7 linked regions of the Cricetulus griseus genome follow. The protein of the gene in region 1 interacts with the protein of each later gene in a biochemical or structural test. Links are inferred from orthologs where the notes say so. Each region holds a gene or a part of one and is shown in the gene's direction. Other genes may lie near its edges.

Evidence for each region.
Region 2: the proteins of Plcg1 (region 1) and Sh3bp2 form a complex in vitro, tested with the Homo sapiens proteins (2 studies listed by BioGRID, with this or other methods). The link is inferred for Cricetulus griseus from reciprocal best matches to the Homo sapiens genes PLCG1 and SH3BP2.
Region 3: the proteins of Plcg1 (region 1) and Pdgfrb form a complex in vitro, tested with the Homo sapiens proteins (3 studies listed by BioGRID and IntAct, with this or other methods). The link is inferred for Cricetulus griseus from reciprocal best matches to the Homo sapiens genes PLCG1 and PDGFRB.
Region 4: the proteins of Plcg1 (region 1) and Sos1 form a complex in vitro, tested with the Homo sapiens proteins (2 studies listed by BioGRID and IntAct, with this or other methods). The link is inferred for Cricetulus griseus from reciprocal best matches to the Homo sapiens genes PLCG1 and SOS1.
Region 5: the proteins of Plcg1 (region 1) and Erbb2 form a complex in vitro, tested with the Homo sapiens proteins (2 studies listed by BioGRID and IntAct, with this or other methods). The link is inferred for Cricetulus griseus from reciprocal best matches to the Homo sapiens genes PLCG1 and ERBB2.
Region 6: the proteins of Plcg1 (region 1) and Lcp2 form a complex in vitro, tested with the Homo sapiens proteins (2 studies listed by BioGRID). The link is inferred for Cricetulus griseus from reciprocal best matches to the Homo sapiens genes PLCG1 and LCP2.
Region 7: the proteins of Plcg1 (region 1) and Kit form a complex in vitro, tested with the Homo sapiens proteins (3 studies listed by BioGRID and IntAct, with this or other methods). The link is inferred for Cricetulus griseus from reciprocal best matches to the Homo sapiens genes PLCG1 and KIT.

The regions. Positions count from the first base shown.
Region 1 is NC_048599.1:18,762,665-18,766,623, reverse strand, and holds part of Plcg1 (1-phosphatidylinositol 4,5-bisphosphate phosphodiesterase gamma-1), read left to right. Parts: intron 1-2,198; coding exon 2,199-2,351; intron 2,352-2,458; coding exon 2,459-2,552; intron 2,553-2,708; coding exon 2,709-2,756; intron 2,757-3,959. UniProt on the Homo sapiens protein: Mediates the production of the second messenger molecules diacylglycerol (DAG) and inositol 1,4,5-trisphosphate (IP3). Plays an important role in the regulation of intracellular signaling cascades.
Region 2 is NW_023276807.1:103,544,175-103,548,133, forward strand, and holds part of Sh3bp2 (SH3 domain-binding protein 2), read left to right. Parts: intron 1-545; coding exon 546-648; intron 649-1,588; coding exon of another isoform or gene 1,589-1,686; coding exon 1,687-1,804; intron 1,805-2,212; coding exon 2,213-2,283; intron 2,284-3,218; coding exon 3,219-3,307; intron 3,308-3,606; coding exon 3,607-3,675; intron 3,676-3,959. UniProt on the Homo sapiens protein: Binds differentially to the SH3 domains of certain proteins of signal transduction pathways. Binds to phosphatidylinositols; linking the hemopoietic tyrosine kinase fes to the cytoplasmic membrane in a phosphorylation dependent mechanism.
Region 3 is NC_048595.1:178,033,199-178,037,157, reverse strand, and holds part of Pdgfrb (platelet-derived growth factor receptor beta), read left to right. Parts: intron 1-832; coding exon 833-956; intron 957-1,460; coding exon 1,461-1,672; intron 1,673-3,959. UniProt on the Homo sapiens protein: Tyrosine-protein kinase that acts as a cell-surface receptor for homodimeric PDGFB and PDGFD and for heterodimers formed by PDGFA and PDGFB, and plays an essential role in the regulation of embryonic development, cell proliferation, survival, differentiation, chemotaxis and migration.
Region 4 is NC_048600.1:3,663,216-3,667,174, forward strand, and holds part of Sos1 (son of sevenless homolog 1), read left to right. Parts: intron 1-795; coding exon 796-877; intron 878-1,774; coding exon 1,775-1,897; intron 1,898-2,110; coding exon 2,111-2,214; intron 2,215-3,333; coding exon 3,334-3,556; intron 3,557-3,959.
Region 5 is NC_048600.1:111,557,232-111,561,190, forward strand, and holds part of Erbb2 (receptor tyrosine-protein kinase erbB-2), read left to right. Parts: intron 1-357; coding exon 358-496; intron 497-579; coding exon 580-702; intron 703-883; coding exon 884-982; intron 983-1,207; coding exon 1,208-1,393; intron 1,394-1,529; coding exon 1,530-1,685; intron 1,686-1,804; coding exon 1,805-1,880; intron 1,881-2,109; coding exon 2,110-2,256; intron 2,257-2,639; coding exon 2,640-2,737; intron 2,738-2,931; coding exon 2,932-3,120; intron 3,121-3,349; coding exon 3,350-3,602; intron 3,603-3,732; coding exon 3,733-3,959. UniProt on the Homo sapiens protein: Protein tyrosine kinase that is part of several cell surface receptor complexes, but that apparently needs a coreceptor for ligand binding. Essential component of a neuregulin-receptor complex, although neuregulins do not interact with it alone.
Region 6 is NC_048600.1:49,261,872-49,265,830, forward strand, and holds part of Lcp2 (lymphocyte cytosolic protein 2), read left to right. Parts: intron 1-1,229; coding exon 1,230-1,324; intron 1,325-2,020; coding exon 2,021-2,098; intron 2,099-3,684; coding exon 3,685-3,840; intron 3,841-3,959. UniProt on the Homo sapiens protein: Adapter protein primarily involved in signaling pathways within T-cells, as well as other immune cells such as platelets, mast cells, and natural killer (NK) cells.
Region 7 is NW_023276807.1:142,062,254-142,066,943, forward strand, and holds the start of Kit (mast/stem cell growth factor receptor Kit), read left to right. Parts: upstream 1-1,832; 5' UTR 1,833-1,916; coding exon 1,917-1,983; intron 1,984-4,690. UniProt on the Homo sapiens protein: Tyrosine-protein kinase that acts as a cell-surface receptor for the cytokine KITLG/SCF and plays an essential role in the regulation of cell survival and proliferation, hematopoiesis, stem cell maintenance, gametogenesis, mast cell development, migration and function, and in melanogenesis.

The DNA.
Region 1 (3,959 bases):
AAGTAGAATGCCTCATCTTCCTGCATTCCCCATACCTTTTTACTTCACTGAACCATGTGCCTGCATTTTTCTCATTTTTGCACTCAGTCACTCAGTGGGTACTGGAAGGGCTCTGCCTGCCATGGAGTATGAGAAACACACATTTCATAGCAGTATGAGGCATTGAGAGGACAGTTAATGCAGGATGGAGCTTCTCATGGGATCTTCAGTGGAAGAGAACTCAGGCGGAGAACCTTGCAAACCAGGCTCCAGGATGAAATGGGGTAGGAAGAGTTGCTGTTGCTGTAGGTCTGCCTTGGTTTGGAAGGATCACAGAAGAGGGCAAGACAAAAAGCTCCAGAAGCTCTGAGCCCTATCATGAGAACTTGAAAGGCTGTGAAGGGAGTGGGTTCGTGGTGGGTTAGCAGTGATACCTCAGGAGGGGAGTGAATGGGCCTGTAGGACCAGGCATCCAAACAATGGTTTATGGTTCAGAAGAGTAAGGAAGAATGGGGAGTTGGTGAGAATTATGCCCACCAACAAGGAAAGTCAGGGCTTTCTGCTGGAGGATAGACCTGAGGGCTTTGCTGGGGAGTCAGTACTGGATCCAGGTACAGCCAGTGCTGGTTGTGGTAGCAGAGCAGGGGATAGGGCCAGAAGTGATGTTACTGTTCCAGGTGGCACACATGATGCTCCTGTGGCTGGCTCAAGGGACAGCACAGAAAGACTGCAAGCTGTTGGTTGGGGCCTTTGGAATGTTCCAGCCATGCTGATGTTTGGAACTAGAATCTAGTCGGAAGGAGGACTGTAAGAACATTTTTTTAAAAAAATTTATTTATTTATTATTATTTATTATGTCTGCATATGTATCTGCAGGCCAGAAGAGGCCACCAGATTTCATTACAGATGGTTGTGAGCCATCATGTGGTTGCTAGAAATTAAACTCAGGACCTTTGGAAGAGCAGGCAGTGTTCTTAACCGCTGAGCCATCTCTCCAGCCCCTGTAAGAACATTTTAAGACCTTCCCAAGCTAAGGGGAATCTCTCTTCCTGGGCTATCTATTTCTGTCCATGCTCCAGGCTCATTCAGGGATGGTCTAGGTGTGTTCAGTCAGGGCAGCTGTGGCAGGACCAGATCTACGAAGGCTCAGAGTCCACATCTGAGCACGTGCTGGCTGAGGAACCTCTCCATCCATGTGGCATACTCAGCTTCTGCTCTTTCAGCATCATTTTGGTCTGTTGTCCTTACCACCCTTCAGAAGTGGAGCAGGGGATGTCGGGCAGTTGTCTCTCTGCCAAGACTCACGGTTAACCTGAGTCCATGTAGCCTCCCATTCCACTGTCCTGAGAAACCGAATCAGACCCCTACCTCTTTAGTTGGTGAGACTGCAAATGGGAGGCATTAAATGTGCCACTAGCTTACAGTTGCTCTGTCTTGTCACTCCAGTTAGTAGCCCGAAGGATCATTCACCTCTCAGGCCCATGTACTTGCCTCACCTTTACTTGTGAGAACAGGGGAGCAGTTGAGAAGGCTTTGGTAGCTGAGATAAGGATACCAAGTTGTGAGTGCCGAATGCCTGGTGTTCTTGAACAGCCTTGGCCTTAGCCAGAACTAGGCCTTTGCTAAGACTGGTGTGGGCATGTCTCTGGGGTGTGGGTCGTTTCAGGATTTGCCAGTTTTCTGGACCTGATCCAAGGTTCTGTCTTCGATTCTGAGACCAATCTAGACTTGCCCAGCCTTGCCTCTGGGACTTTACAATTGGGTCTGTGTGTGTATTGTGTTAGAAAGAGATTCACAAGGTACTGCCTTGGTTGGATCCCTGTTTCTCCTTCTGGAGTGGAGTCCAGCTCTGCTCCAGGTACAGGTTATAGCCTATACTCCTAGCAATGGAACAAAGATAGGGAAGGGATAACACATACACTTACACATACACTTACCTCCCTGTCCCCAAAGAGCCTTAGCCTTGCCTTTAACACACACACACACACACACACACACACACACACACACACACACACAAAAAAAAAAAAAAAAAACAAAGGCCTACTATTAGATAAGCCCAGCTCTCCCTATCACCTGGGATAATGTGAGTGGGTTCAGTCTGTCTCTTTGTGGCCCAGTCCTCGAGGGAGGAGGGTGTGGAAATGACTGAGAAAAGCACACCTTTGATGCTGGCTATGAGGACCTCAGCCTGACCTTGGCCTTTACTACCTTTCCAGTTGATATCCGTGAGATCAAGGAGATCCGCCCAGGGAAGACATCGAGGGACTTTGACCGCTACCAAGAAGACCCTGCCTTCCGACCAGACCAGTCACACTGCTTTGTCATCCTCTATGGGATGGAATTCCGCCTGAAGACCCTGAGCCTGCAAGGTGGGAGATGGGATTAGAGGAGGCAGGGTGTGGGTAAGGGGAAAGCCTGGCTGCCCTTGCTCTTGTGGGAGGATGTGCCCTTAGCTCAGCTTTTGCTCTGCTCACAGCTACATCTGAGGATGAAGTGAACATGTGGATCAAGGGCTTAACTTGGCTGACGGAGGACACACTGCAGGCAGCCACACCCCTGCAGATTGAGAGGTGAGACTCATCTTCATGGGTTAAAAGACCAGATGTCTTGGACCAGGTGAAAGGAGGGAGAGACTTGAGGCCTCTCCACACACAGTAACTGCTCTGCTTCCCGGGCTTTCTCTTAGTTGGAGAAGGGACCCTCACCTCAGGCTTCTTTCTCTCTAGGTGGCTCCGGAAGCAGTTCTATTCAGTGGATCGGAACCGTGAGGATCGGTAGGTACTAAATTGGAGGTGTGTGCCCAGCCAGTAGATAGAAGCACCCAGAGCAATTGTGCATTTGAACTGAGCTACCTTGAAGGGACCAGCAGCTCTGACACAAGTAGTTCATTAGAGTGGGGCACACTGCTACTCTGGGTCCTAGAAGGGTGGCTGACAGTGCAGCCAGAAGGACCAAGAGCTGGAGGAAGCAAAAACCAAATGGCATGCTCCATATGTAACTTGTACTGTTGCAAGGCTCTCTGAGAGTCCTAGAGTCAGGAAGTCATGGGAGGTACAGAGTGACCTGTTCTGGCTTCGAGTTTGCTCAGTGTCCTCAGTAGGGTTACTATTACTATGATGAAACACCATGCCAGATTCAACTTGGAGACGAAAGGGTTTGTTCAGCTTACATTTCCATATCACTGTTCATCACTGAAGGAAGTCAGGACAGGAATTCAAAACGGCAGGAACCTAGAGACAGGAACTGATGTGAGGTCATAGAGGGGCGCTGCTTACTGGCTTGCTCCCCATGGTTTCCTCAGCCTGCTTTTTTACAGAACCCAGGACCACCTGCCTGGGGTGCCCCCTACTCACTCACAGTGGGCTTGGCCTTCCCACATGTATCACTAGTTAAGAAAATGCCCTGCAGGCTTGCAATAGCTGGATCTTATGGAGGTATTTTCTCAATTGAGGCTCCCTCCTCTCCCAATGACTCTAGCTTGTGTCAAGTTGACATAACACTAGCCAGCACACTCAAGATCAGACTGCTGAGTGGAGAGCTGTGAAGACACTGTTCCACAATTCTGGGTGGAAGATGAGAGGGCTCAGATTGGGGTAATAATGGTAGGAATTAGTTGGACTTGGGCTATATTGTTTAAAATTATATTAAAAAGTTTTTCTAGTCCTTTGATTTTCAAACGTCTGAGAGAAGAATGAAGTCAGGATTTTTGACTTGAGCAACTGGAAAGTAAAGTTGCCATTGCTGAGACAGGAAGACAGTGACAGGAATATTGATGGAGCTTAGGGTTCAGTGTGGGTGGAAGTTTTATGATGCATAGTGGATGTCCAGGTAGAAATGTGGAGTCACCAAGCAGGTAGAGTGAGTTCAGATGAGGAGTCGAGGCTATAAAATAGGTGTGTGTGCAGGTGAAATAGCAGCACAGGTGAGTCTTGTAAGAGTTTCACCATGGGGAGGAGGAGGCAACAGTTAGAGAAGCT
Region 2 (3,959 bases), on another chromosome or scaffold:
GCTCTAGGCTGGACTGTTGGACTCTGTGCAGGTCAATTGTACTATGTACAGACAGCCTCCAAGGAAGAAACATAACTAACATTCCCTCAAATCTACGTGGGTGCTGTTCTGGGCAGGAACAGTAGAGCTAGAGCACAGCTTCATACCTGGCTCTCATTAGCCAGCTCTGGGTGCTTTAGCCCTGCTCTCCTTGCCTCATGCAGCAGCCCTATTGCTCTAAGCAAGGCTGCCATGGCCTTCTTAGGCCTCTGGTCCAGGCTCCACCCTTTCTTACTGTCTTTTGAAACCTCAATCTACTCCCTTTCTTTGTGTGGCTAGACTTTCCCTGGAGTGATGCCCCAAGACTGGTCAGTGTACCAGTGAACGTGTCTGTATTGACCCCACAGAAAACCCTAGGGAGGGCCATCACACCAGCCCCCGCTTCCTGTTCTACCCCCTGCAGTCTCAGAGGTCTGACCCCAAGTTGTACAGGGCCTCTGAGGAGGGCCCCAGAGTGGAGCTAACTGGTGGCTTTGTGGCTCACCCTGCTGCTGCATTGTCCCCAGGGCCCCTACGCTTTGTGATCATCCACAAGCGCTGCATCTACTACTTCAAGACCAGCACATCTGCCTCTCCGCAGGGTGCCTTCTCCCTGAGTGGCTACAACCGGTGAGTGTCCATCCTGTCTGCTGACCAACCCCATGCCAATTGCTTTTCCTCTCACCCTAGAACACACGGTCCATCCCTTGCTTTCCTGAGATGGTTTTAATCTGCTTGCTGGCTGTCCCCTCATATTCTGGCCTTTCCTAAGGGAAGGGGGTGGGATAATATGTGTGAGGTGAAGCCTTTATTAGGGCTTCTAGACTAATGGGCAGGTATAACCTGAGTTAATGCCTACATATTGGACTGTTGGTCATCCTGATTTTATCCTGTGGCCTTGGAGGCTGTAGGGGCCTAGGTTCTATGCCCTGTAGCATTAGTCTGAGCCTTTCACCACCCCATAAAGGACCCAGCCCTTCTACTTATTCTAAAGTTGCTCTGGGCCCCTGCTTCACCCTGACTATAGCCTTGATGAGACAGCCTTGCCAAAGTAGCCAGACCAGGTCCCTAGTCCAGTCCTAGGCACTAGCTAATCAAAACTCTCCCTAGTCACTTTTCCCAGACTGGTGTGCCAGCCAAGCCATGAACTTAGCCCACTGACAGATGTGACTGGGCCCTAAGGATTGTCCAACCCATTTGATGGACTAGGCCTGAGAGGCCCTGGCTAAGACCTGTGATAGGCCAGGCAGGTACCCTGTCCAAATGCCCAGCCAGCAGGACTCACCCAGGTAGACTGATGTCTGAGAAAGCGTTGTATCGGGAATCAGGCCACAGAGCAGAGAGGCAGTCCAGGAGCTGCATGGGACAGAGTGGGGGAGTAGTATCTCTATGAAATAACACTGAGGAGCAATGAGAGTAATGGGGCCATGTCTCTGAGTTCTGCACACTGCTCTCCTGGGAGGTCTGCACAGACCCTGCACTCATACTCTGCTGTTCCCCTGAAGCATCTAGATAATCTACTGAGAGCATGAGCAGGCAGAGACTGTCCAGATTTGTCGATATTCCCCAGGGCATGATGCTGAGTGCTGAAGTCAATTCATGGGTGGGGTTGATGATCCAATTTCTTGAGAGTGGACAAGCTGGTGACTTTTGGCACTGTGACTTCAGAGTTATGCGGGCAGCCGAGGAGACGACATCCAACAATGTCTTCCCATTCAAGATCATTCACATCAGCAAGAAGCACCGCACGTGGTTCTTCTCAGCCTCCTCTGAGGATGAACGCAAGGTGATCAGCAGGTAGCAGGGCCTCAGGAGCCTGGCAGAACCTGCCTGAAGGGGCGCATTGATCACCAGGATCTGGCCTCCCGTCGCCTCCAGGCTGGAGGCTAGGACCTGGAGGAGAAAGACCTGGTTGGTGTATGGGCATCTGGGTGGATTAGACCCACAGCCTGGTGCCTGTACACACCATGAGACTGTCCCAGCAGGGTATAGCCTGGAAAGGGCTGAGGGGCAGCTTGCAATCTGAGGGGGTGATTTCAACTCTGAGCCACACAGTCTAGGCTGGACCTAGCTAGGTTCCCCTCCCTGGACCTTGGTGGTTACTGCATAGCAGGGAGACCGTGGTCAGAGGAAGGTGAAGTGGGACCCTATTCTGGGCAGCATCATATTTACTATGGCTGTTCCTGAACCACAGAGCTGGATGGCCTTGCTACGCAAGGAAATTGGCCACTTCCATGAGAAGAAGGAGCTACCTCTAGACACCAGGTATGCCAAGGCATGTGATGGGTGAATGGTAGTCCCTAGGGCTTCTTGATTCCTAGGGCTCCCTTCCAGTCCCTGGAGGAGCTTGGCTATAATGACTTCCATAAAGGCTTTTGTGGAGGTACCAGGTAAACTTCATGTATGTGGAAGCATATACTGCTTACATGATCATGCATATGTGTGCTTGCAACATCTTTATTCTTGTCAGTCTTATAGCTCTGACTGTGTGTCATTCTGCTGTACTTATTTGTAACTCTTGTTTGGGGCTCATGTGCTTTTCCCCTCCCCTACTATGGAGGCCCAGCACTTACAGCTCAGGGCTTTCGATTCCCAACTCCCTGTGTCTACTTTGTCCCTTGGGAGCTCAGTCATTCCTGGTCTCTGCATTCTCACTTGTGAGATGATCCAGCAAACAGCAGGGGCACTTTCACTATCATAGTGAAACTGTGATCTAGAGAGGGCTGGGAACCCCCAAGGGTGCCCTGAGGCTCTGGACTGAATTGAGAGCACCTGGCTATTGGTCTAGCCTAGCATCTTGCAATATCTCAGTCCAGGGTTGACTGCGCCTCACTGGACAGGAGGCAGACATGTAGACCCAGCTCTGAGGCATCTAGCCAGTAAGGGCTACAAAAAAACACAGTCAGGCAGAGAGGTGGTACCCATAGATGGTCCCAAGCCTCCAGTCCCTATGTCTGTCCTTCCTTGAACCACGCATATGTCCAACTGTCTTTCTTTATGACATTTTTCTTCTTTTGTCTATATACATGTGTGAGGGGTTGTCCTTGTATCTGTATGTGTTCATATCTCTGTGTGCCCATGGGTCCCCAAGTGGATGTTGACATCTGTGGTGTGGGGAGTGTGTGTGCATGGGTCACTTCCTACATGCAAGGGCACCACTGGTCTAGTGCTCATTGCCTGTTCCCTGCTCTGGGTTTCAGTGACTCTAGCTCAGACACAGACAGCTTCTACGGTGCAGTTGAGCGACCTGTAGATATCAGCCTCTCTCCATACCCCACTGACAATGAAGGTAAGACCTTCTCTGCACCTGCCATATATCCACTTGACTGCTGACAGTGAACCCACTTGGGCTGCCTAGAAGGAGAGAAATGTATGTTTAGCTTTGCTTGTATGTCCTCTGACAGAGTGATGTGGCTTCTCTGCCTCTGACCTCCACCAGTGTGAGTTCAGGTTTCAAATCCTTCCTCCTCGTCTTCAACCCCGTCTCCCGAGTGCCCTGTTCCCAAAGCACAGTGGGTCATGCCATCCGTTTCTGCATGGAGCCGCCCTGGGCTATGTTGTGTCTCATCTTCCATTCATTACATGTAGACTATGAACATGAAGATGACGACGACTCATACTTGGAGCCTGATTCCCCGGGACCTATGAAGCTTGAGGGTAGGTAGGGTAGCTGGGTCTGGGAGTTTCTTGGTGGGTAGGGACTGGGGACTGGGACCAAGAACAGAGCTTCCTCTATGCTGGTGATTCTTTTTGTTTGTTTGGTTTTTGAGAAAGGGTCTCTCTGTAGCTATGGCTGTCCTGACTCTCTCCTGACCAGGCTGACTTCAAACTCAGAGAGCTGCCTGCCTTTGCCTCCTGAGAATGGAATTAAAAACATTTACCACCATGCCTATAAGGCTGTGGTCTTGCTCTGGGTGGTCTCAGTTTCCTTTCTGGGATTG
Region 3 (3,959 bases), on another chromosome or scaffold:
ACACACACACACACACACAGGAAAGAGCCTGGCATAGCAGGTGGTAAGGGTTGTAGTTTTCAGTATGGTGATAAGGGTTGGCCTCATTCTGGAGGTGACAATTGTGAGAAGACTCGAAGAAGCAGAGGACATTAGACAAGTAGATATTTGGAGAAGGGCACTCCAGATCATGCGTCTCCCCTTGTCACATTGCCAGAGAAATAGCAGGAAGGCGGGTGTGACCAGAACAGAGGGTGCTGGCATATATGGAGGGTGGGTCATGAGGTCAGGGCAGAAATGGAGGAAGGATGGAGGGGATAGTTGGGTGAGTGCTTTGTGGGCTTAGTACAGCTTTGGCTTCCATTGTGACTGAAATGAAGAGCCATGACAGGGACTTGAGCATAGAAATGACATGATAAAGACTTAATGCTTTGTCAATTAGCTTTCTAAAAATAAGTCTGTTTTGAAAGACAAAATTTAGCATCTCGTTGTAGATGGAAACTCAGTGTCATATGCCATAAATATAAAACAACCACTAAAATAAATTCAGAGAAAACAAAACAACGCTGTCAAAGTCTAGCCTTATGAACCTGGCTGCCCAGGACCCTGGGCTCCAGGCCTCTTCTCTCTTTGTTAAGGGAAAAGACAGTCTCAGAGTGATGTTAAAGACAGGCTCTGAGCCCTGCCCTTCGAAGTACTGAGAGGAACCTGTCATTTTTCACACTGTGACTCCTGGTGTCTGATGCTCCCCTGTAGTCCCTTGCCTAGGGGTTGGGGAGTGGGGGGACTCTGGAACATGTTCCCCTGAGGTCTTTTCCTACCACCCCACTTCCTTGCCCTGTACTCTGTTCAGTCCCTGTCCGTGTGCTGGAGCTGAGTGAGAGCCACCCTGCCAATGGGGAGCAGACAATCCGCTGTCGTGGTCGGGGCATGCCTCAGCCAAATGTCACGTGGTCTACTTGCCGAGACCTCAAAAGGTGAGCACACCTGAGCTCCAGCCTCCCAGAGTACCCACAGCTGCCTAGAATGACCCAGTGTAGGCTAACCTAGATCAACCTCTCCCCGCTGAGAGGCCCAGGCCACATCTTAGATCAGTCCTCTGCCTTCCTGAAGATACCATGCATAACCTAAATTGCTCCTTTTCTTACCCTGACCCTGAGCCATCCTCAACCCAGGAAGGTGCAGGGTTTGGCCCCCAGAGGGGTCTAATTCATCCAGTAGTTGTTCTATATCTCTGACCAGAGTTGAGTGTAGTAGATAGAGTTCAGGGTTTGCCTGACACACTGAGGGTCAAATGAGTGAATTTTGCCATTGAGGAGTCTCAGTTCTGGAGTAGGAGCTCCCCCTGCTGGTCCTTCTAGACAACACAGTAGGAACCTACTTAAGGACCAAGCAGTCATAGAAATTAAGACTTAGTTTCCCCAAATGCAGAGGGAGAACTAAGCGAGACTGTACGCCAATCTCCTTGTGTCTCCTGGCAGGTGTCCACGAAAGCTGTCACCCACACCCTTGGGGAACAGTTCCAAGGAGGAGAACCAGCTAGAGACTAATGTGACTTTCTGGGAAGAAGAACAGGAATATGAGGTGGTGAGCACACTGCGCCTGCGTCATGTGGATCAGCCATTGTCAGTACGCTGTATGCTGCAGAACTCAATGGGCAGAGATTCGCAGGAGGTCACCGTGGTACCACATTGTGAGTGCCCCAGCCTTGGGTGGCTCTGATGACCTCTCACTCCTTCCTTGATCCTGCTTTACCGTGCCTGCATGCCCAAAATGGATCAAGTGAGCATGCTCACAAGCCTATAGTAACATTACAAAACCCACCAGAGTATGTCCTTATGCACATACACAATATATGATGTGGACACCAGTGCACAAACATGAAAAGCATTGACTCAAGTGTGGAAAATGAACTGTTATGCATGATGCATGCTGTAAACTCTGAACATGAGTAGGCTGATCTTGGGACTCGGGTGTACACTCTTCATGTGCACATGCAATCTGTGCTGAGGATGCCTAATCCCCTGAGTACACTCGTGTTAGCATGTGCTCAAGCATGCACAACGCTGTCCATGTATATAAAACTGCAGGATATATTTTTGTGAGCTGTGTGTATAAGCCTGCCCAAACCCAAGACTTGCATGTAAATCTACAAAATGAATGTCTGTATGCATGTACAGGTGGGGAGCACAAACCCCCTACATGTGCATAAATCATGCATGCACAGTTCCTGTGCAAATGTGAACATTGGCATGGTTCATATTTGTACTCACACAATTGCAACATATAAAAACAAAAAAGCACTGAGCACAACTCTGTACACATACGCCTCCAGACAATGTACAAACATTAGCAGCTGCACATATATGTACAGTTATTGTGCAACATATGAACAGTGCTTGCCAGAGTCCAGATGTGTGTACATATCTCCCACTTACCCATGCCTTCACATGTATGCATGCTTCATCATCCACCTATTTCCTATTCAGTAAGTTATGGGGACCCAAACTCACTAGGGTACAGAGGCCAGTGGGTCAGTCCAGAGGGAGGAGGCAGACGAGGAGTGAGCCAGCCTACACTGGAACACTACTTCCAGGGAGCAGCCCTGAGACAGAAGGAGCCCTGTGCTAACCTTGGGATTGAGGAAATATCCCAGGAAAAAGAAGTTTTACATCAAATACCGAAAGATGACCAGGTGTTAGCCTGTGAAGGCATGGTGTCGCAGCCAAGGAGGCCTGTGCCAAAGCCTAGAGGTGGAGTGGGTTCTGAGAAGTTCAAGGAAACCAAACTGTCTGGAAGCAAACTATGTGGATTTGGGGCGGGGTGGGGGAGTAATAGGGAAGGAAGTGGTAAGGAGTGGGGCTATAGGATACAGAAGTCAGAGAAATCAGAGCTTCAAAAGACATTTTGTACATACACAGACACACACACACACACACACACACACACACACACACTCATACACACAGGCTGCCCCACACAGCCTTGTACATGTTTGTCTATGTACATACCTGTCACCTGCCCTTAGAAGATGAGTGAGCTTTTTAAATATCCTTACTGGGGCTGGAGAGACGCCTCAGAGCTTAAGTGAGCTTGCTTCTCTTCCAAAGGACCTGCGTTCCATTCCCAGCACCCATGTCAGGGGGCTCACGATCACCTGTAGCTCCAAATCCCATGGATTTAATGCTTTCTTCTGTCTTCCATCAGCATCCACACATGGCATTCAGGAATACAGTTGCACACATAAACACATACATAAAAATAAAATAAATATCTAAAATAAAATGCCCTCATTTCTCCCACACTCTCTTATAGGCACACATATCCCTGAGCAAGTGGGCACAACAAAATGTGCACAGCCTGCCATATAGAGACCCATTCTGGGCCTGAGTAAAGGCAGAATGAAAGTCATTGTGTGACATCTGGTCAGGACACCATGTACTATTACACAGAGACCTGGGATGACTCTGATGGGTCCCTGGAGGGTGCAGGCTCCCTTTGCAAGACCAGGATGTGGGGGCTGTTGTGAAGAGAGGACAAAGATGTCAGTCAGTGACCCTAAGAAGGAAAGAATGTGGAGTAAGCCAGAGGAAGACTCCCTGGGGAACAGAGGAGGGCAGGAAGAGGACATAGGAGGAAGACGAAAGTTCCCAGAAGACAGCAGCTATTGCTAATCGGGGAAGGACAGGGGCTGGGGCTTCATCCAGACTGACTGGGTAGCAGGGAGGCTGGAGCCTTGGGCCAGAGAAGACTCAGGGCTCAGGGAGCCCAGGGAGACCTGCATGTTCACCTCAGTGCCCTGGGCAGTGCCCTCTATGACTGCCCCACCAGACACACCAGCTGGTCCTCAAGGTCAGGCTGGAGGAACAGAAGCCTTTCTGATGTGGATTCATTAGGCCACTGAAGATCAGAGTCAGCTCCTTTGGGCAGCCACCCAGTGAGTGCCTCGGCCATTTTGTTAGACATGGCACTTAAATCTA
Region 4 (3,959 bases), on another chromosome or scaffold:
GGACGTTTACCTACTGAGCCATCTCGTGTCTTTTTTATAGCTTAGAGGGGTTTGACCCTTTTTTAGCAGTTAAAAATAAGGCCTCTGGCAATCAAAACCATTAACTACTTAGCTAACCCTACTACTCTGTAAGATTCTGTTTCTAGTTCTTTGCTCTGTTAACATGATTTACCGGAAGTTAGGAAACATAGTTAATTAAAGTGATGTCAGGAAATGGACAGGCTATTGTTACTGCTATCTCTACTAGGTAGGTGACCCAACAGGTGACACATTGAGATCCTAGCAGCAAAAGGGAACCTGGTTCAAGTCCCTGTCCTTGCTTTTTTCCATTGCACATTCCTTTGCCAATGATAAATTTGAGACAGGAAAAGAAATCAGCTGATCATATTTTACAATCAGTGTTTTGTTTTGTTTTGTTTTTGTTTTTCTAAAGCCACTGCTTTAGGAGGCACCAAAGGTATCAATACATTAAAGTTCAAAGCCATATATGGGTAAAACATGTGGGCATTTTTTGTTTGTTTGTTTTGCTTTGATTTTGTTTTTTTCAAGAAAGGGTTTCTCTGTGTAGCTTTGGAGCCTGTCCTGCAACTCACTCTGTAGATCAGGCTGTCATCACAGCCACAGAAATCCTCTTGCCTCTGCCTCCTGAATGCTGGGATTAAAGGCGTACGCCACCAACACCTCGCAATATCTGGGCGCTTTTGAGACTGAGTCTTTGATCTCTTTTGAAACTGAAAATAATAGTTTTAATCATTGTTTACCTGAGACTTTAATACTGTTCCTTTTCCTTTTCAGATCCCAATTTTGTTCGGACATTTCTTACAACATACAGATCCTTTTGCAAACCTCAAGAACTACTGAATCTTATAATAGAACGGTCTGTCCATTTTATATGTCTGAATTCTTTGATTTGGAAAGGATTAAGTTACATATTTCCTAAAAATGTTGCAATAAGTGTAACTGTAGTTGAGTTTAAGATAAAACTACTACTGGGTTTACAAAACCATGCTAATTTTGATTATTTAAATAGATTTCTCTCTCTCTCTTTTTTTTCTCATTTATTTAGTATTTAAAATTACAACTTTTCAGGGTTTGGGCTACACTGGGATTGAGCCATGGGCTTTTGGTTCAATCTAAGCAGTATTCCCAGCTCAAATTTAAAGAACTAAATAATATATAAATATGTATGATTTAGACTCTAGGCTAAACATAAGCCTATAATCCAAGAATTTGGGAGGTAGAGGCAACAGAATCAGAGTTCATGGTTATCTTTGACTCTACATAGGGAGTGCAAGGCTACCCTGAACTACGTGAAACCACACCTTTAAAATAATGACACACTAGAAATTCAGATTTTAATGCTTCACAAGTTCTAAACAAATTTTCAAATATACTACATATTGAATAAAAATGAATCTTGTCAGTGAGCAAATGCTTTTATCAAGGAAAATGTTTTTCATCTATCCAAAGGGCAATCAAGTTTCAAGCACTAGTTACCCTTAGAGTAATCTACAGACTAAAAATTAACATTAGTCCCATTTGTTTTAGACTTTATATGTGTTGTTATTTTGCTTCTAGTTAGTTTTAACTCTGTTGGCAATATTAACTTCTTTTTAAAAAAATGTAATCAGCCTTTACATTATAAAAGCCTTGTATATCTGTAGTAATTTTTATAGTAGTCTCTTGATTATACTGATAAGTATAAATAAAAGTTTGTGAATCTGAATTTGATACAATATTTTCATTAATTTTTTTTTTTTCTGTTTCATGGTAGATTTGAAATTCCGGAGCCTGAGCCAACAGAAGCTGATCGAATAGCTCTAGAAAATGGAGATCAGCCACTGAGTGCAGAGCTGAAGAGGTTTAGAAAGGAGTACATTCAGCCTGTCCAGCTGCGGTGAGTAGTGAGGGCGTGGCCTCATAGAAACCACAGCTTCTCAATGTGCATTTAAAGTCCTAAGTCAGGTGAAGGAGGCAGACCAAGTGGGTTAGTTAAGAGTCTTCTCTGAGTTATCAGCTTTAGTAGATTGTTTATTGGTAAGGGCTGCTCTTGTTTCATGTGTACACTCAGTGTAAGACCCCATGTAATCCAGTTGTGTTAATGCCACAGAGTGTTAAATGTGTGTCGGCACTGGGTGGAGCACCATTTTTATGACTTTGAAAGAGATGCAGACCTTTTACAAAGAATGGAGGAATTTATTGGAACTGTAAGAGGTATGTTTCTAATTTCCTACTTGCATATGTGATAAAATTACCAATATGATTACCCTCAATTGATACATTATAGCTCATTTGAAAATGTTAAACTTTCTCATCAAACATCACTTTGGCTGGGTATGGTGGTGCACACCTTTGATCCCAGCACTGAGGAGGCAGAGGCAGGTGGATCTCTGTGTGTTTCAGGACAGCCAGGACTACAGTAGTGATACTAGGTCTGAAAAAACAAAACAATAACAAAAAACCATTATTGAGACTTGTAAATTGCTCAGCAGTGATCCTGCTGACTCAGTATACTTTGTATCTGTTTTAGAACTGGGTCTTTTAGGTGTCAGTTTAAGCTAGACCACTTAATTGAAACTATGTGCTACCTACAGTAGATGGTGGAATGTTTTTTAACCATTGTAGCACCACTGATAAAGGTATATGATTAGGTAAATGGAACAAGTAGCATATTACACTGACAGACTACTACTACCTACCATCACTACTAGCCAGATACATAATTTTGGTTCTTTAGACTTCAGTTTATTCATAAGAAATTAGGGTTGATTATCACAAAGTTTCCTTTACTTTAAAAATTCTGTGACTGTGTGACTTTAAGGGTGCCCTAGACAAACTTGGTTTTATAGCCATTGTTCAGTCTAAAGGAAAATCAGAAAATAAAGGATTAAATAGATTACTTTCCTGTACAGTACAAAAGACAGCCACATCAAATAAGACTAATATGATCGATCAGTCCTCATAAATGGGTTATAAAATACAATATTAATTAGACTTGTGAATGTGTGTAATTTATTAATCTTTGTATGGAATATACCTTGTATGGAAGAATTATAAAAAATAGTATTTTGAACTAAGGTTCAAAGTGTTGGAGGTGAAAAATCAAATTACCTTTTACATTCATTTAGGAAAGGTCTAGATACATGCCAAATTATTAACAATGGTTACCTATCTGGAGAAGGATGAGAAGATGGGGGAGGGGAACTCTTAGTATTTACTTTGCACATTTGACTTTATAGCAATGATTTATTCGTGTATCACTTGTATTACTTTAAACATATTTAAAAATAAAGTATTAAAGAGTATTTAAATGTTTGTTAAAATGTATTTCAGGTAAAGCAATGAAAAAATGGGTCGAATCCATCACTAAGATAATCCAAAGGAAAAAAATTGCAAGAGACAATGGCCCAGGTCCTAATATTACATTTCAGAGCTCACCTCCCACAGTTGAGTGGCACATAAGCAGACCTGGGCACATAGAGACTTTTGACTTGCTCACCTTACACCCAATAGAAATTGCTCGGCAACTCACTTTGCTTGAATCAGATCTATACCGGTATGTTGTTCAACATTCAAGCTGAGAAGTTATTTCAAGAGTTCATCTTAAAAATGGAAGACATTTTCTGCCTTTTAGGGTTGTCTTGAGATGTCAATGAGACAGTAATATGATATATTTGTAGCACTAAGGCAAGCAAGCAGTTCTGGTCCATTTGCCCCCTTGATCACCCTTGATCTACTTAACTTTGTGCTCTTTCTGCAGTTAGCCCTGCTTGGTAAGCTCAAATCATAGTAGTACCAGTTGTTGGCTTAAGTTTCCTGAAAGAAAAGTGAGGCCAAAGTCTGTACTAACTTGTAGGACTGTGAGGTTTCCAGTGCATGCCCAAGGAATAGCACAGGCTGAGCACAACACAGGACACAGAACTACTGCTGTCGTTTCCCCACAGTACCACAGATAGCTA
Region 5 (3,959 bases), on another chromosome or scaffold:
GGTGCACATTCCTGGACCCCATTTCAAGTGTGGCAGAATCCCTGGGGTGGGCACAGTACAGATTAACGAAGTCTCTGTTGAATTTTCTCCCATGAAATTTTTTGTTTTGTTTTTCGAGATAAGGTTTCTCTGTGTAGTCTTGGCTGTCCTGGAACTCACTCTGTAGACCAGGCTGGCCTTGAACTCACAGAGATCTGCCTGCCTCTGCGTCCCAGTGCTGGGATAAAAGGCATGTGCCACCTTGCCCGACTTCCCATGATATTTTTGAGCCAAGGCACATTCCTGTCCCTTCATGGGGTCTCTTCAAATTTCCTCCCGAGACTAGTCCTAATCTCTGATTCTGGGCTCTGCTTTCAGCCCAGCGACGTCCATCATCGCAACCGTGGTGGGTATCCTGTTGTTCCTGGTCATAGGGGTGGTTGTTGGAATCCTAATCAAGAGAAGACGGCAGAAGATCCGAAAGTATACAATGCGTAGGCTGCTGCAGGAAACTGAGGTGAGGTGCCGTGAGGGCCTCCTAGCGCCGCACCCCCCATCTGTAGCTTGCTTGGCACTCACCACGCCACCCTCTCACTCCAGCTAGTGGAGCCGCTGACGCCCAGCGGAGCCATGCCCAACCAGGCTCAGATGCGGATCCTAAAAGAGACTGAGCTAAGGAAGGTGAAGGTGCTTGGGTCCGGAGCTTTCGGCACTGTCTACAAGGTCAGGAGGGACCAGGCTCTGGCATGAGTGGATCTGGAGGAGGGGCTGTGCCTGAGGAGCATGGTCAAGACAGAGGACTGGACCAGGCTGGAGGGTGGGGAAGGCTGCTCATCAGTGACTTCTTGGGGACCAGCAGGATCTGGACCACAGGCCTGATTCAAGCCCATTTCTTTCTGCTCAGGGCATCTGGATCCCAGATGGGGAGAATGTGAAAATCCCCGTGGCCATCAAGGTGTTGAGGGAAAACACATCCCCTAAAGCTAACAAAGAAATCCTAGATGTAAGCCGGTCACCTTCTCCACTGGGACTTGTGAGACGCCCCCTAGCTGTAGACCTGGGCTGCCTTCTCTTGATGAGGGTTTGGGATGGAGGTCCTAAACCTTGATTCTTACTCTTCCTGGTCTGCAGGCCCTGCAGGGATGGGGGCGGGTCTCCAGGAGGGGAGTATGGTGGGTGGGAGGGAGTAGGTGGTTTCCTGTATCCCTCAGTGTATGCTTGCCTGCAGGAAGCATATGTGATGGCTGGTGTGGGTTCTCCGTATGTGTCCCGCCTCCTGGGCATCTGCCTGACATCCACAGTGCAGCTGGTAACACAGCTCATGCCCTATGGCTGCCTTCTGGACCATGTCCGAGAACATCGAGGTCGCCTGGGCTCCCAGGACCTGCTCAACTGGTGTGTTCAGATTGCCAAGGTATGTGCTTGGGGGCTTCTGACTCTGCAGGTCCTTTGGGTGCAAGTCCCTACCCTCATTTGGGGCCAGAAAAGGATGGGGAATGCCGATAAGGTGAGATACAGACTCAGGTTCCACACTGATGCCCATTTTTCAGGGGATGAGCTACCTGGAGGATGTACGGCTCGTGCACAGGGACCTGGCTGCCCGGAATGTGCTGGTCAAGAGTCCCAACCACGTCAAGATTACAGACTTCGGGCTGGCACGGCTGCTGGACATTGATGAGACAGAGTACCATGCAGATGGGGGCAAGGTTGGAGGAGGGCGGGGTTGGGGTGAGGTGGGTGGGGTGGTATCCGCCCATTGGGAGAGCTTTGAGAAGGGTCACCTCCCTACCACACCCATTCAGGATTTTTTGCTCTGCGTTCCCAGGTGCCCATCAAATGGATGGCATTGGAATCCATTCTTCGACGGCGGTTCACCCATCAGAGTGACGTGTGGAGCTATGGTGTGTGGAGATGGTGATGGGGAGGGCTGGATAGAAGCCATGGCAGGGTGGGATATGGGTACAGAAATGAGGGTGGAGATGGGGGGTGGCTGATGTCCAGCCTGTGGGGGTCTGTGCCCACCTGGAGTATGAAGCGACCAGGCCGATGCTACCTTTTGGCACAGCCTCTCCCCTTGTATGCGCATCTAAGGATCCTGTTCCCCCAACTCCTGATGCCTGTCTGTCTTAGGTGTGACTGTGTGGGAGCTGATGACTTTTGGGGCCAAACCTTATGATGGGATCCCAGCCCGGGAGATACCTGACTTGCTGGAGAAGGGAGAACGCTTGCCTCAGCCTCCAATCTGCACTATCGATGTCTACATGATTATGGTCAAATGTGCGTGGTGGGAGGGGCCGAACCTCAGGTGTAGCGGAAGGGTGGTCTGACCTGTGTGTGGGGGGGGCGGGAGTGAGATGTGAATGGCCTCGGGTGTCCTTGAAGGAACCTCGAAAGGTGCTTCATCCCATTCACAGTAGATGTCCTAGCTGCTCGGGACAACGGCTGTCTAGAGGAGAGAGGCCAGCTTAAAGGGGAAACTAGGAAAAATGCTCCAGGGCTCTGGCTCAGGATCCAGGGTCCACTTGTGCTCCTCTGCTATGTGAGGACTTTGGGCTCAGCCAGGGTTGTCTAGGCCAGACTGAAGAGGAGCAGGAAGGGGCTGCACAGCTGGTCCTGAGCCTGGTCCTGGGACAAGGATGCTGAGCTCTCTCTCACCGTAGGTTGGATGATAGATTCTGAATGTCGCCCGAGATTCCGGGAGTTGGTGTCAGAATTCTCCCGCATGGCGAGGGACCCCCAGCGCTTTGTGGTCATCCAGGTACTGGGCCTTCTGACCTCATCCCTACCCTAACAGTGTCCTCCCTCCTGCAGACAGGAGAGGGAGGGCACACCTGGATGCCAAGTCCCCCAGCCCAGCCAGCCCCCACCTTTAGTCTAAGCTTGGTGAACCTTTCTTGGGAACTAACGCTAGGCTGGGGAAGGGCTGTCACTTTGTGTCTCCTTCCTCCCTAGAATGAGGACTTGGGCCCGTCCAGCCCCTTGGACAGTACCTTTTACCGTTCACTGCTGGAGGATGAGGACATGGGGGACCTGGTGGATGCGGAAGAGTATCTGGTCCCCCAGCAGGGGTTCTTCTGCCCAGACCCTGCCCCAGGCACCGGGAGCACAGCCCACCGGAGGCACCGCAGCTCATCCACCAGGGTCAGTGCCCATCTTAGAACACCAGGGTCCCTTCCCTTGACTGCTCCCCCACATTCACACTTCCTTAAGATCCCATTACCATTACTGCCTTCCAACCCTTGGGACTCCATTGCCTCCATAATGATTCCAAGGTGACCTGTGTTTTTCCTCCTGGGACCCTGTCATTTCCCCCCCAAGGTCCCCTCCCAGATCTTTGAGTAACTTCCATCATGACCCTCTCTTACTCCAGAGTGGAGGAGGCGAGCTGACACTGGGCCTGGAGCCCTCAGAAGAAGAGCCCCCCAGGTCTCCACTGGCTCCCTCGGAAGGGGCTGGCTCCGATGTGTTTGATGGTGAACTGGGAATGGGGGTTAGCAAAGGGCCGCAGAGCATCTCTCCACATGACCTCAGCCCTCTACAGCGGTACAGCGAGGATCCCACGTTACCCCCGCCCACCGAGACTGACGGCTACGTTGCTCCCCTGGCCTGCAGCCCCCAGCCCGGTATGGAATCCAGGCCTGAGAGACTGGGAGGAGGGGAGTTGAGACCCCTCAGGCTACACCCACTGAGAGGTAATGGTGGGGCAGGGAAATCCCGTTTCCTTTCCCTAACAGTTCTTCTTCTCTCCTGCAGAATATGTGAACCAGCCAGAGGTGCGGCCTCAGCCTCCCTTGGCCCCCGAGGGCCCTCTGCCTCCTGTGCGGCCTTCTGGTGCTACTCTAGAAAGACCCAAGACTCTCTCTCCTGGGAAGAATGGGGTTGTCAAAGACGCTTTTGCCTTTGGGGGTGCTGTGGAAAACCCCGAGTACTTAGCACCCAGAGGAGGCACTGCCTCTCAGCCCCACCCTTCTCCCGCCTTC
Region 6 (3,959 bases), on another chromosome or scaffold:
TGGACTACATGAGATCATGCCTCAGAAAAACAACACAAGTTTCTGAGTTAGTAGGAGAGGCCAGAGGCTTTCCTTTTCTAATGATGCTGCCACTGAGTGTCCACTGTGAATGTTCTCAACATTCAATGTACATACAGATGCCTGGCAATCATGTTCAAGTGGATCTAATTCAGGAGGGCTGGGTGTCACCTGAGATGGCATTTCTAGCAAGTTCCTACAGGACATTGATGCTATTGGTCCATGTTCTAGCAAAGGTCTGTGAGACAGGACTGCACTGGGATGATTTTAAAGCAAATGATCAGTTTATGGTGCCTTCTAGTCCAACAGTTCTACATCTTGGGGAATTGTAAAATGAAAACAAACAGAAAGACCACAGCAAACACTGGCTCTAAAGTAACACTGTTCTCAAGCCCTTCCCTTTCTTTCTGTGAAGACACTGAGCACATAATTAGCTCTTCTCTGCTGCCAATGTGAGAGCTGTTGGTGAGGCATTCCATGTGTGCCGTGATGGCAGGCATCTACGAAAGGTCTGCTTTTGGCATGTTCATATTGAGGCACACAGTCAAACAATGTGGTTATTTTTATAAATGGGCCCTCGTTATGTTGTGTGCATGTTTAGGGGTTCACTGAAATGTCAGGGTCTTTTCTCAAAGTTTCTCCAGCATGGTATGGAACATGGCCCAAACAGCCCTCATATTATGAGAGAAGTAGAAATTATTTTTCCAACCTCATATTCTTTTTTAATTAATTAATCTTACATCCTGGGGGCAGTTTCCCTTTCCTTCTTTCCTCCCAGTCCTTCCCCCATCCTCTCCTTCTGTTCCCACCTCCCCCAGTCCACTCACTCCTCATCTATTTCTGTTTAGGAAAGGACAGGTCTCCCACTGGATATCAACAAAACATGGCATATCAAGTTGCAGTAAGCATCTCCCCATGTGTTAAGGTTGGGCAAGAAAAACTAGTATGAGGAAATAGGGTTCTAAAAGTCAGTAAAAGAGTCAGAGACAATCCCTACTCCTGCTGTTAGGAGTCACACAAGAGGGTCAACCTACCTAACTGTAACATATATGCAGAGGGCCTAGGTCAGTCCCATGCAGGCTCCCTCCAACCTCATAATCTTGAAAAATGAATGCCCCTACTGTCATGGGGGTATCTGTGATGGATGTGCTATGAGATGAGAAAACAGTGGCCGACACTAAATTAATTTTCAAAATATTTTGCTTTGAAAGGTCTCAGCAATAGACCACCTCTCAGAAATGAAGGCAGAAACTTATCCATGCCAGTTCCAAACAGGCCACAGCCTCCATCTCCTGAAGAAGAAGAGGTAATACAGCTGTTTCTAATTTTGTTTGCTTTTCTCCCTAGCAAAGGGACGATAAGAAACTCTCCTAAGCTGCTCTGCTCTATTTGTGCCTTCTGTTAGAGCTTTATTGCCATTTAATTAAGAGGGCAGCTGTATAGCTCAGTGGTCAAATCCTTGCCTAGCATTGGGTGAAGCCCTGCCCTGGATCCACAGCACCACACACAATAAACCAAAAACTGAGGGGAAGATGTAAATGAAAACTAATGTTCTCTTTAGTGTTCTCTCACCGTCTTCCAGGGGCATTAAGAAATGATAAAAAAATAAGCCCAGTTTTTCATGTTTCCTGGCTTATAGCCTTGAATGAATAAGTCTCATAGTTGCTCCACTAAAACAGATTTTTCATTGATTATGTTACTACTATATAATAAGCTGGAGAGTTCGTCTATCTCTGTCTTTCTAGATCAAAGTCTCCATTACATAAGGGAGGCTCCTTCCTTCACAGCTGCTTTTGCAGTCAGTGGCATGCTAAGGAAGCACTTTGCACAAAATGTTTTCCATGCAGCCCCATCTAAAGGACTCAAGTCAAGAAAACAAATGTTCTAAGTCTCGAGAATTGAGGTGGTGATTTATGGGAAATAGTATTTTTTTCCTTTTTGTTTCTTTTCACTTTGCTTATGTAACTATAGAACTCACAGTGCTTTTAAAATTTATTTGCAGATTCCATTAGATGAAGAGTGGTATGTCTCTTATATCACCCGACCAGAGGCAGAAGCTGCTCTTAGAAAGATAAACCAGGTATCATTCTATGCTTTATGTTTATGCAGTTATACATGTTAGTGGAGGAAGGGGAGGGTATTGCTATGCACTGGCACTCAAGTATGAACTAGCTGCTGTTCCCGCTGCTAGGTGCTGTTCCTTTAAGAGCCATTAGTGCTACCATCCTACCCGCTAGCATCCATAGAATGTTTCCTCCAAGCCATCACTATCCGTCAGTTGGCAGATATTAGGCAGTTTCATTAATGAGTGTGTCTCTATTTTTTTGTCAAAGGAATCGTGTATCATTTCAGACATCTTACTAATTTATCTTCCTCTTAACACTTGTTTGCCATTCAAGATCATGAGAAAGACCCATGATGAAAGCATATCTGCAAAGTCTTCTAGAAATTTCTAGTTAGTCTTAATGTTATAAAGTCTTACTCATGTTCCAGTACTAACCCTTAACCCTGAGTTCCTGGGTCAGAGATGAGAGAACAACAACCCTTTAGCCTTTACATTGTTAACGCTACAGCAACCATTTCCAGCCTCAGCAGCCGATTTGGTCATCTGGGGTAGTTTTTTGTTTTTGTTTTGTTTTGTTTTGTTTTAAATTTGGGTTCCTGAGTTTTGAGGCGATTGTGTTAATAAGTGTGGGGTGGGCTGAGAGGGAGTCTTCAGGCTCCGCAGGTGATCCTGAATTCAAGCCAAACCTGTGACTCACTGGTCCAGAGGGAAGTTCCTTTATCAGCTATGTTCTCAATGGCTCAATTAACTATGAGCAAAAGGAACAAAGGAACAGTGCTATTGCATATTGATGGCCATTTAAAACCCATTCTAGTTAAGTACATAGAGGAGGGAGTGATTTACATTGGTCTTTCTAATTAGCTCTATTTTACTATTAGATCTTTGTCATGTTTTATTACATTGAAATAACTCTTGTATGAAATGTAAAATACAGAGCAAATCACATTTTAGAAAGTAAAGGGGAAAGAGGTGACAAGAATATACAAAGTCCACATTCACTTTTGTTCAGGTGTGAGATGGGTAAAAGCTAAACACAGCAAGTGTGTGGGACAAAGGGCAGTGCACTTCACAGGCAAATAATGAGGGTGTAGAAAGGCAAGTTTAGAAAACTAACAGAAGTGAGCAGGTATATGGTAAGTAAGCCTCCTTACTTCTTGTGGCGCATTACTCACCGACTGATTGTTTTTATTACTTAAAAAATGTATAGTAAGAATCTTCAAAAGCAGGGCGGTGATGGCACATGCCTTTAATCCCAGCACTCAGGAGTCAGAGGCAGGTGAATCTCTATGAGTTCAAGGCCAACCTGGTCTACAGAGTGAGTTCCAGGACAGCCAAGGTTACAAAGAGAAGCCCTGTCACTAAAACCAGAACCAAAAGCAACAAAAAGCTCCAAAGATGTTAACTTGCAAATTTCAGATGCAATCCCAGTTGTCTTCCTTAGAAATCAAAAGACCCAGAGTACCTGGGGTCCCCAGCTCTGAGGAGAACTCAGTGTCAATTTACAAGTGATAGCTTTGTCTGCCCCATAGGCTTGTCTCTTAACAGCAACAAAAGGATTGACTTTTGCTGCTCCCATTAACAACAAGCATCCATTCTTCTAGGATGGTACTTTCCTGGTAAGAGATAGTTCTAAGAAAACAGTAAGCAACCCATATGTCCTCATGGTATTGTACAAAGACAAAGTTTACAACATTCAGATCCGTTACCAGGAGGAAAGTCAAGTATACTTGCTGGGGACTGGACTTCGAGGAAAAGAGGTAAGGACTTCATGCTTCACTCTTTACCCCAATTTCATGCTGCATAGCAACTATGCAGGTAAATCACATGCTGTGTAGCAACCATGAAGTTAAGTCACATGTTGTATAGCAATGATGCT
Region 7 (4,690 bases), on another chromosome or scaffold:
GTGCATTTAAATTGTTATTTTTCCTGATGCTATCTCTCTTTTATTCTTCAATCTTTTCTTTTGTTTTGTTTTTCAAGACAGGATTTGTCTGTAGCTTTGAAGGTTGTCCTGAAACTTGCTCCGTAGACCAGGCTGGCCTCAAACTTACAGAGATCTGCCTGCCTCTGCCTTCCCAGTGTTGGGACTAAAAGCGAGTGCCACCACCACCCAGCTTATTTTCCATCCTTAAAAAAAATACGTTTATATATTCTCTCTCTCTCTCTCATCTATATACCTATCTGTCTATTGACCAATCAATTACATGTTTGTGGGTGTGTGTCTGCCCTATTTTACCATCTTAAGTGCTATGTAGGGGTGTTTTATCTATTAATCAGAATGACAATAAGACCACTCAGAGCACTTGCCACCAAGCTAGTTGACTTGAGTTTAACTCCCAGGATCTACACAGTGGAAAGAGAGAACACACTCTCAAAATTTGTTCTCTGACATACACATAAAATTATAAAAGTAAGAGAATATAAAGGGAAAACACAATACCCATGAGGCTTCAAACTCTGTCTCCCCACTATTAGGTGTGTAATCTTGGGTCACTTTAAGAGCTAAAATAATAAACGTTTATTCTCCCTACTTCTCAAAGTTAATAGTAAGTCTGGATAATGGAATACAGAACTATAAAAACCCTATACTGGGGGATTGTATAGCCACAGTGACCATAAAATGCTTCTAAGTAGATCTCTTAACAGAATTACTTTAGGAGCTGGAGAGATGGGTCACTGGTTAAGAACAAGAAGGGTTCAGAGCAGTTGGGCTCCCAGCACCCACAAGGTGATTCACAACCATTTGTAACTCCAGTTTCAGGGGATCTGTTGCTTTCTTCTGACCTGCCTGGTGTGCAGACATACATGTTGGCAAAACAGTCATACACATTTAAAAAAAAAAAGTCTTTACAAGAAAAGATAATTGTTTTACTTTTATGTTGCTCCTAAGGCTGGCCAGAGCAGGAGAGAGGTAGGGTGTGTGTGTGTGCGTGTGCGTGTGCGTGTGCGTGTGTGTGTGTGAGGCGGGGGCGGGGTGGGGATAGACTAAAAAAAATCCACAAGCGAAAAGGCACCCAAACTCGAATAGGCTTTAAAAACCGTGTTTCCAAAGCTAACTACTTCACAAGGAGCCTCTCTACACTCCACTGGCCCAGTTTCCACAAGTCTCAGCAGGAGCTTGGTTGGGCGGAGGTCCACACTGGCCAATAGAATCAGCTGTGTTCTTACAGGTCTCGCAGCAGGTGGAGAAACTGAGCAAGAAAAATTACTTAAACGTGGGCTCAGCCTTGCGCCGTGGTGTGGGGCGCCACAATTGGTCCCCCTCTACTAGCAGGACCGGAGAACAACGTTGGGGGCCGAATTTCTTAATCCTTTCGCCCAGCAATCTCGTTTCGTAGCACTTCCACTGCCCGCCGAAGTGTGCAGGGGGGTGGGGTAACCCCTGTGGTTGTCCTTTATTGTCTAGGGAGCACCTGTCAGGTGGCTGGCCTGTGCCTAAAGCGCGCGTGGCGCCAGGCTTCACAAAGCGCGGGCAGCACCTGCGTGGCCAGGAAGCCGCCTGGGGCAGGAGGACCACCGATGGAGGAAGAATGACGGGAGGAAGAGGATCCGGGATGGATGGCCTGTGGGTGCTCGAGGTCTCAGAGGACACAGCGCCCCCGGGATCAGCATATCCCGAGAGTCCCGGGCACCAGGCAGCGAGAGGGAGCGCGACCCGGGAGGGAGGAGGGAGGGGCGTGGCCGCGCACTGGGGGAGGGCTGGAGGAGGGGCTGTCGCGCGCCGCTAGTGGCTCTGGGGGCTCGGCTTTGCCGCGCTTGGTGCACTTGGGCGAGAGCTGTAGCAGAGAGAGGAGCTCAGAAACTAGCGCAGCCACCGCGATGAGAGGCGCTCGCGGCGCCTGGGATTTGCTCTGCGTCCTGTTTGTCCTGCTCCGTGGCCAGACAGGTGGGAGAGCGCGGCCGACTAGAGGATTGCACCCTCCACCCCGTGGGCACAATCCTGGGTCTGGGAGGGGTGTCACCAGGCGGGGTGCGTCCAGAGTGGTGGCTGTTGGCTTTTCCACTGCCTGTGTGTTACAGCCAGTGCGAAGGTGGCGGGCGGCCGCGGGACTCTGTTGGTCCGCCTCGCTCACCTGCGCCAGGAGCCGGCAGCGGCGGGCGGTGGAGACCCGGAGCCGAGAGTCTTCCGGGAGTCGGGACCGCGGGGCTGCAGGCTGCGGGCTAGTTTGGCGATGCTTTTGTGCGGACTGAGCACGGGTGGCAGTGGCTGGCGGCCTGGGGCTTCGCACCGAGAACGTCCTCTTCCCGTGCGAGGCGCGGCCGCGGCTTCCTTTTGTTAAAAGTTGCGTGTGGGTGACCTGCGCCCGCGAGGATGAGCCCGCGGGTCCCCGGACGCGCGCCGGGCAAAGTTGGAGAGCCTTTTTCTTTTTTTTGCTCTGCGGCCGCTGCTTCCCCACCGCGGGCGGTCTTTGTGTACAGTGCTGGGGACCCAACCGCAGTCGCTCTAGTCGTGCGCAGCGCTACCCGCGGAGACGAATCTCGGGCGTGCTTGTACCCCCTCCCCCTATTTTTTTTTTGCACGGGGGACACGCGGCGCGCGGCTCTGGGGCGGGACCCCGCGAGCCTGTATGTGGCGGCTACGGGGACAACTTGAGCCAGGCGTGTGGCGAGCAGCCGCTAGGTTGCAGACTTTTTCCTTTTGTAAATCTCGTGCTAAAGGCTCGCCCCTCTCTGCAGCCGCACGGTGTACATTGCTGCCACGCGCCGGGGAGCTGCTGCAGCCTACGTTAGCCGCCAGCTCCTGGGAAGGAGGGACCTCGTGCGGGGACGCAGCTGTTCCTTGCCGCCTCGTGCGCACAGTATGAGGGACCAGGCAGCCCGCCCTAGCTTTGGAAACCCCTGGTCTCAGTGTATGAGACTTGTAGTCGCAGGTGGCCGTTTTCTTTGGGAATCCCGAGATCTAGACTCCCCCTCTCACATGATAACCATTCTCTGGCCTCATGGGGTGGGATGGGGCAGAAGAGGTGAACTTCCTGCAAATCCCATTTGTTTCTTCAAGCTGTTACGAAAACCATGGTACCTCTGCACGGGAACTTGGGTCTCAAGGTGGAGGATGTGTAGTCTCCTGGAGCTCCTTAGCCCTGCCCCTTTTTGCCAGGTGTCGCTGGTGGGCTGCCTGTGCGGGTCGCCTGGCTCTGGTCATGAATCTTTGGTCTTTTCCAGGTCGTTTTCAAAACAAAACCCAGAAACCCTTTAAGGTTACCTTGATGCTATAGGCTAGAGAGAATCTGCGCTCTGGAATGAAGCGTCCAAAGGCCAGCAGCGCTGTCTGACCTGTTTGGAGCCCGCTGCTGGCTATGTTTCCCAGATCTCACTCTCCCGATGCTTTTGAAAGGCCCGGGAGGGCTCTGTGTGTGCGTGGTGTGTGTGTGTGTGTGTGTGTGTGTGTGTGTGTGTGTGTGTGTGTGTGTGTGTGTGTGTGTGTGTGTGTGTGTGTGTGTGTGTGTGGTGTGTGTGTGTGTGTGTGTGTGTGTGTGTGTGTGTGTGTGTGTGTTGTGTGTATGTGTGTGTGTTTACATCTAGACCCCTGCCCCAGAGGAGGGGTCACCAGGGAACGCAAATGAGTGTCCAGATTCCTAGGCGTATTTGACTGCTTAGCTGAAAATGACCCCAGCGATCTTTGTGTTTTCCACCTTGTCCTGCTTTAGACCAAGATGGAACACCAGGAAGATCATAGTTCCCCCTTAAAACCTGAAACGTACCAATGGTTTGTATCTTCCTCCTGATTAGTGTGCTCTGACCAATAACTTTGGCAAAGAGAATCTGAAGGTCTGTTGCCTGGCAGGCAGTGTGTCCTAATGACAAACCCTTGTTCTGCCCCACCAGTTTCAGGTCCCCTTTTCATACCTACAGCCTCCTTGGTTATGTGCCCTTGGGCGGGTCATTTAAATTAGGAGGGGTTGGTGCCTTCAGTTTTCCGTGTGTGTGTGTGTGTGTGTGTGTGTGTGTGTGTGTGTGTGTGTGTGTACTGTTCTGGCTTAGCAGGAAGCAGTTTTGTGTTTGTTTACGTTGTGATCTCTTTGGAGGGCTAGCAAGTGCCTGCTCTGTAGTAACCCCTCCTTCTTCCTGGGCATTTGCAGCTTTTACAGCTCAACAGGATGGTCCTGAAACAGTGAATCAGATCTTCCCCCCTTTCCTGCAGGTGCAAGACCCTAGTCATTTATGCACCTGGTCTTGGCTTATGATCCTACTGGAAATAATCTGATAGTTCTGTAATAAAGAGATCTCAGATAATTCACTTTCCCCACCCATCCGTGGATTTCTTTTTTCTTATGACGTTTTAAATCATGCATGCCGTGCTTTTGCAACACGCTTTCTAATGTGCCTTAAATATCGTATCATGGGTGTGCTTTGTGCATACGTGGGGCTTTATAATCAGCAAATGTCTGCCAGACCTCATGCTGAGGGCTTTCCCTGCTGTTTCCCTACTCAGGGAGCCCAGGAGGTTGGACCACTACAGCCTCTACTATTTTCCTATTGGAGACAAGTCACTTGCCCAAAATAATCAGTGAAGAAGCCTGAGCTCAGCTCCATATGCCCACTGTGTATCCATTTATACAACTTGCCAGAGTCTGACATAAAGTAAGATGCAT